Sus scrofa: one gene and its partner. The main gene of each other region encodes a partner of the protein of the gene in region 2 in a complex. Links are inferred from orthologs where the notes say so. Each region holds a gene or a part of one and is shown on either strand. Other genes may lie near its edges.

Region 1 (3,654 bases), on a different chromosome or scaffold from region 2:
CGGAACCAGACCGCACGGTGGAAGGGCTCGTGGGGTGGAAGGGCTCGGCCGCAGGTCTGGACGCAGGTATCTGGGACCATAGCCTGGTCTCGTGCCTCCTTCCCAATCTTACTCCCTTGCCGCCGCCGCCGCCGAGACGCTGCTGCTTCCTGTCTGTTTACCCCCCTCCCCCTTTCTACTGACCAAGCATCATCCAAATAGTACACAACTTCCATTCTTTATCGGTTCTGAATTTTCCCATCATTTCCCCACAAACTTCACATTTACGTCTCTAAGAACACCGGCCGTCTAAAGTTCGAATGGCGCTGCTGTGGCTGGACGGAGAGTTACGCCCTCGCTTTTCATTTTTCCTTCTTTGAGAACTCAAACTGCTCAAAAAGTCACTTCATAAAGCAACAATTTAACCCCCCCACTTCTATCCCACAAGAAGGAATTTTTAATTAGACGCCAGAGGGTGAGCAATTTGGAGAAGCGTCAACGCAAGCGTTTTAGAAAAGCCAGCTCAGAATAACGTTGCGACGGTCGCAGCGGCACAAGGAGAAACTTGTTCATAGGTACGTTCAACCGCCGACTGACTGACGTCTCAAAAGCCATCTTAGGTCCTCTGGCGAATACACACAGCATTTCCAAGGTAAACCACACAGCCCTTCTATCCTGGGAACGAACAGTTCTTTGAAGGGCGACACAGCACTGTGGAGACACAGGCCAAGAAGCCTCCAGCACATCTGTTACGTGGCAAAGGCAAAGGCCTTTGGGGAACTGTTCTTAATTCGTATTTCAATTTACGGAGGTTTCCAAAGCCACCGCTGCCAAGTGGGAGAGGTGAGGATGGCTGCCTTGGGATTGAAAGGAAGCAGAGGGAGGCCGCTGCCTCCAGGTTGGCTGCTAGGATGTGTCCTGCCCCGGTGGCGGGCGCTCCCTGACCCCGGCGGGCTCGCCAAACGCCCCGCTTACTGTGCAGCCGGCCGCCTGCAAGCTTTACAGCTACAGAGGCGCCACTGCAGAACCCCAGCTTCTCACTGGTAGAAAGGGCCTCCAGACCTGATTCAATCCGGGGTAAACGAGCAGGACGCCAGCGCGGCTTCTCAAGAAGGACCGATGAGCTTTGCCAGAGCCAGCAGCCGGGGGGGGGGGGGGGGGGGGGGGGGCAGCCGGGGGGGGGGGGCGGCCGGGCCTGGGCCCAGCACACCGTGGGGAGTGCTGGGTTAGGTGGTCGCTGCGGCAACCTTCCCTCTTCCTGGGCTACACTCAGACGGGGATGCAGATGGCAGACAGCACGGGCTGGGCAAGACAGCTGAAGGCCAGACCTGCTGCCGTTAAAGGAACTCTGCGGCAGGGCGCCAAGACCCCACGAGGGGAGAGAGGGAGGAGACGGAACACCAAGGCCCCCCGGGGGCAGGGGATGCAGCGGGGCAGGGACCCAGCGAGACGAGGCACACACGGGATCCTAAACAGCAGATGGCCCTGCCGTCAGAGCCCACAGGCGGGATTCCCTCGGGGCCAGGGCCTTCTGCCGGGAGGGGGGAGGACAAGCCACGAGGGGACGGGTTGAGTCAGCAAATACGCTGGAGCCCCACGTGCAAAATACCGGGAACCTGCGGCTCACCCCTCGGTTACCTAGAAAACCCGCTGACTGCGCGGCAGCCACTCCCCTTCTCTAGAGAACTCTCTGTGCTGCTTTCCGACCCAGCGAGGTGGCGGGGTGGGAGGGTGTCCGTCCCCGGGGGGGCCTCCTTCAGTCCCCAGAGGAAGGACGCTCTCAGGATGCCGGGCCGAGGCTGGCGCACAGAAACGCCGATCCCACCTGCAGCCTGGGTGCCAGGAGTCACAGCTGCCGGGCAGTGAGCTGGCCTCCCTCGGGGTTCACCAGTGTAGGCCTGCCTGGCGACCGTAACACCGGAACCTCGTCACACAGTTCGCTACCGCGCCACGTCCAATGCCTACGCGGACACTCCACCAATAAGATGACACGTGTCACAGGAACTCAGGCGGCCTCCTGCCACTGGCCTTTCAGACGGTTCAGCTCCTTTGCAATGACACCCCTCCCTCGGAGGGGTGTCCCCAAAGCCGGGGGTCTGCAGGCAGTGAGACCATCTCCTTCCAAAGAACGCCGAAGGGTGGGCTTCCGGGTGGAAGGAGATGCACACTGGACGTGCGTCCTACAACTTAACAGAGTCTGTGCCAAATTCCAGCCCCTCAGGGCTGCCTGGGCAGGCCACCGTCCCGCACTGGAACACACACAAATACCTCGACGGTGGAGGCGAAAATCGCTTTACATCTTTGATTACTGGTGCGATTGAGCTTTTTAATACTGCTATTTACTATATGTAACATTTGCATGCTTTTATGATTTATTATCTTGAGGGCCCATTCTCTTTGTTTAATTGAATCTATGAGACTCTTTCTACATCAAGTATATTATATAAAATGCAAACGTATTTTTCCATATCTAAAAAAAAGGAATGGGGGTTTGTCATTTACTGGTGCTCCCGTGTCACAAACACACTGACCACACGAGGTGCAGAACTACTCCAGAGAGAAAGACAGTGACACGACTGCCTGGCTGGCAGGTACTTCTCCGACTCTGATTCGTGCCTTAAATACACTGTGTCCGAGAAACCAGCCAGGTTCCAAACTACCTAGTGACAATGCAACACAGACCCTCGCCGTCAGAACCTTAGCAGCTGCTGAGAAACGGGTTTTCCACCCACAGAGCTAGGACATTGGAACATCCTAAGAGGCTGAGAGGAACAGGGCTTCACGGAGAAGCAGCCCAGCCCGGTCGGCCGGCCAGCAGCGGGACCCGGCTCTCACCTGGATGTTGTCGAACTTGAGGCCGGGCATGGTGAGGTCCTCCTTGTCCACGAAGACGGCGCTGTACTGCTGGGTGGCCACGGAGACGAGCACGCTCCGGGTGGCCTCCCCGGGGAGCCAGGCGTCGCTCCTCCGGTCCATCTCGCTCATGCTCAGGGCGGTGGCAAAGGGGTCCTCGCTGCCGGCAAACACGGCCTGGATCTGCGAGAACGGTTTTGGGGATGGAGGGATCTCCGGGGCGCCTGTGGCGACGGCGGGCTCCGGGTGGCGGGCGGGCTCGGCGGGGCCTGGGGCGGTCTCGCCCATCGGGGTGGCCGCCAGCGAAACCGGGGAGCCGGCGTTGGGGTTACTGACCGAGATGAAGGTGGACGTGGTGAACGAATCGAAGAAGTCCGAGGCCAGGGAGCTGGGGCCCGCGGCGTCGCCAAAAAACTTACTCAGGCTGGGGCTGGGCTGGACGCCCTGGGCCGGGGCCCGTGCTGCCGCCTCGCTGGCGCCGCCGAAGCTCGGCGATTTCACCATCTGCGACTGGAAGCCGTCGCGCTGGGAGCCGGGCGGCCGGCTGAAGATGGTGCACACGGGCACCGGCTCGTCCCTGGGGGAGGGCTGCCGGGGGGCCTCGCCGGCCGCCGCGTCCCCCGGGGGCGCCCTCTCGTCCCCCCCGGGGCCCGAGGCCTCGGCACCCGCGCCGCCGGGCTCCAAGGCGGGTGGCTCTCTCCCTTCTGGCTCGGGGTCTTTCTCCCCCGAGGGCGCCCGGCCGTCGGGGGGCCCGGGGGAGGCGCCTTCGGGCGCGTCCTCTCCGGCGCTCCCACTGTCGTCGCTCAGCGCGCCGGCACCCGA
Region 2 (3,654 bases):
TAAAGGAAATAATTTGAAGCATTTAATAATAGTGAAAATGATGTAGGAATTTCACTGAGTGCTTTGTGTACATTATCTCATTTAATTGTAACATCCCTGTGAGGTTTATGAAACTGAGACTGAAAGCAACCATATAACCTTCTCAAGGTTTGTATCCAGCCAGGATTAAAACCCAGACCTATCTGGTCTCAGCATGAATTTTTAACTAACATGATCTTTTTAAAAGGTTTCTCACCAACAGGATGTGTTGCTTTTTGTTTAAAGATAGAAGCAGCACACTATTTTTTCAACAGACTCTTGCAGAGGAGGTGGAGTAGGTTGGTTAAGAGACCAGACTCCAGGGTCAGATTCGGTTCAGTTTCTGCCTTGGTTCCCTACTAGCTCTGTGACCACTTCATCTCCAGTGATTATGATGCTGTGTCAATTATAATATTGCTGTTATTATCATTATCATTGTTTTAGTCGTCTTGAGTTGAAGTGAGGTAAAAGACTTAGACAGAAAGAAGGCCCAGATTCTAGGCTTCACTCCACTAGCTTCATGGCTTAAAACTGTTCACTTATCTTCCTTAACCTCTGGCTCCTCATTTGTAAAATGGTGACAGTGCCTGCCCTGCCCGCTCTTACTAGATCCTGACAAAAATAATGGATGAGAAAGCACTTTGCAATATAAATGGTTTTACAACCATAGATAACTTGTTAGAAATATTAATCTGTCTCTACCTAGATTTTTTTATACTATCTAAAGGAAAGAAAGATTCTAGCTTCTTGATGTATAAATTGGAATTATTTATTGATCAGTAATCAGTTGTATCTTGTATGCCTTCTCTTTTTAAAACTGTATTATTCTTAAGATTAGGAAAAGCTATTGAATGTGCCCTTTACATTGCCTTGCAGGATGAAACTGTAACAATAGAAACTGTCTTTCCATTTGATGTTGCAGTGAAATTTGTTTCTACGAAGGTATGTTCCGTGAAGCTTATTGGAAGTCATCTGGGCTATAGAAAGTAACAGAAAAAAGAAAATGGATTAGTGTACTTCCTGATAGACCTTTGTCTCCATCTGCCACAGTTTGAACACCTGGAACGGGTTTATGCCGATATCCCATTCCTGTTGATGACAGACCTGTTGAGTGCCTCCCCATGGGCCCTCACCATCATCTCTAGTGAGCTGCAGCTTGCTCCTTCCATGACTCCTGTGGACCAGCTGGAATCCCAAGTGGACAAAGGTGTGGATCATCCCACTTGTGTTTTTTTTTTGGTCTTTTTGCCTTTTCTTTGGGCCGCTCCTGCGGCACATGGAGGTTCCCAGGCTAGGGGTCTAATCAGAGCTGTAGCCACCGGCCTACACCAGAGCCACAGCAACTCGGGATCCGAGCTACGTCTGCAACCTACATCACAGCTCACGGCAACGCCGGATCTCTAACCCACAGAGTGAGGCCAGGGATCAAACCCGCAACCTCATGGTTCCTAGTCGGATTCGTTAACCACTGAGCCACGGCAGGAACTCCCACTTGTGTTTTTTGCAGTGGGGGGCGGGGTGCTGGCCGGCCTTGCTTGTTGCTAAGGGAGGGAACTTGAAACTTATACCCACAAAAGCAAATACATGTAGAATTAAGATAGAATTAGCATCACTTACAATTTGCTTGAGTATACCTTGGTAATTTTAAAAGAACAGATTCTTTCAAAAAAAAGTTAACTCTGAAAGATGTACCTGAAACAAAAGTTTTCATATTTGGTGTGTTTTTTGTAGATAAGTCCATTCTCATTAAAATTCTAATTAATTTTTAATTGACATGTACTATTGTTTATAATATGAAATGGGAAAAGATGTTTATCAAAGAAACTATGGAAAATATAGAAAAGTAGATTATCGATCTTTAAGTTATCCAACTAAAACAGTTTATAGAAGAGATATTACCTTTCCAGTCCGGGATACTTTGGGCTTTTGTATATTTCTTAAGCTGTTAGAGGGAATGAAAATTAGTTTGAAGGTTAACCCAAGCAGAATTATTCTCAAATAGATTATAAGGGCAAATATTGGGAAGGGAAAAAAAAGTTGTGTATTGTTATTTTCATTATATTATTTTATTGGAGTATAGTTGCTTTGTGTTAGTTTTAGGTATACCCAGCAAAGTGATTCAGTTATACATATACACGTATCCATTCTTTTTCAGATTCTTTTCCCATATAGGTTATTACAGAATAGTGAGTAGAGTTCCCTATGCTATACAGTAGGTCCTTGTTGATTATCTATTTTATATATAGTAGTGTGTAAATGTTAGTTCCAAACTCCTAATTTATCCCTCCCCACCACGTTTCCCCTCTGGTAACCATAAGTTTGTTTCCAAAATCTGTGAGTCTGTTTCTCATGATGTATTCTTAAAGACCAAATATAAAGAGTTGTTTTGTTTGCTCTGTTTATCTAGCTCCTTGAAAAAGTCATTAACCATCTCTTCGCCTTAGTTTCCAGGTCTCTATAAATAATGTATAATTGATAAGGTACTCTCTTTTTGTTGTTACATTGCTTGGATGTAAAGCTCTCTTTTCATGAATGAAGTCATTGCATGAGGATTATGAAGACTCTTTCTTTTAGTTGTCTTGCAGACTGGAGAGAGCGCAAGTGAGTGCTTTTGTCTTCGGTGCCCCTCTGTTGGAAATGTTGAAGGTGGAGTAGCAACTGGGCATTATGTTATCTCCTGGAAGAGGTAAAATTATATCAGCCCTATCTTTTCTTCATTTTCTGTTATTCTAATGCCTTCATCATGTGTCATTGTCATTTAATAGTTGAGAGCTTCTGACAGCCTGGAGGGCAGACTAGAAGTCACAGGCTGTCACTGACCATTTGTCAAATGCACAGAGATTTAAAAGGATAATTAAACTTTCATTTGTATTTGTTAATTTGTGATTTAGCCAACTTAATTCTGATGATAGGACCACTAAAAGTATTAGGAGAAACTTCCCTTATTTGCGGTCCAATAGGATTATTTACATAGAAAATTCAAGGGAGTCAACAAATTATTAGAATTATAAAGAGTTTCAGCAAGGTTGCTGGATATAACATTAGTACACAAAAATCAGCTGGGTTTCTATATATCATAATAAACCTCTAGGCAAAGTACTTTTAAAATAGGTATTTATGTAAAAATATGTGGGAATGTATCTAATATGTATCTAATAGAAAATATGCATTACCTTTATGGAAAAAAGTTATAAAAATTTAAAACATTAGGGAGTTCCCATCATGGCACAGCAGAAAGGAATCCGACTAGGAACCATGAGGTTGTGGGATCGATCCCTGGCCTCGCTCAATGGGTTAAGGATCTGGTGTTGCCTTGAGCTGTGGTGTAGATCGCAGGCGTGGCTTGGATCTGGCGTTGCTGTGGCTCTGGTGTAGGCTGGCAGCAACAGCTCCAATTAGACCCCTAGCCTGGGAACCTCCATATGCCACGGGTTCAGCCCTAAAAGGACAAAAGACAAAAAAAAAAAAAAATGTTAAACATTAAAGAAAGACCTAAGTAAATGTCAGAGATACCAAAGAGTCTCTGATAGGATTTGGATAAGATTTAATACTGTAAATTATTCTTTAGATTCAGTGCAGTTTCCTTCAAGATCTCAACAGCTTGTTTTGTTTTGTTTTTGTGGAACTTGATATACT

The links. The genes of interacting proteins can lie anywhere in the genome.
Region 1: TRAPPC11 (region 2) and TRAPPC12 share a complex: the UniProt entries of both Homo sapiens proteins name them as parts of the multisubunit TRAPP (transport protein particle) complex. The link is inferred for Sus scrofa from reciprocal best matches to the Homo sapiens genes TRAPPC11 and TRAPPC12.

The regions. Positions count from the first base shown.
Region 1 is NC_010445.4:131,351,361-131,355,014, forward strand, and holds part of TRAPPC12 (trafficking protein particle complex subunit 12), read right to left. Parts: coding exon 2,815-3,654; intron 1-2,814. UniProt on the Homo sapiens protein: Component of the TRAPP complex, which is involved in endoplasmic reticulum to Golgi apparatus trafficking at a very early stage.
Region 2 is NC_010457.5:45,024,987-45,028,640, forward strand, and holds part of TRAPPC11 (trafficking protein particle complex subunit 11), read left to right. Parts: intron 1-894; coding exon 895-960; intron 961-1,068; coding exon 1,069-1,225; intron 1,226-2,592; coding exon 2,593-2,704; intron 2,705-3,654. UniProt on the Homo sapiens protein: Involved in endoplasmic reticulum to Golgi apparatus trafficking at a very early stage.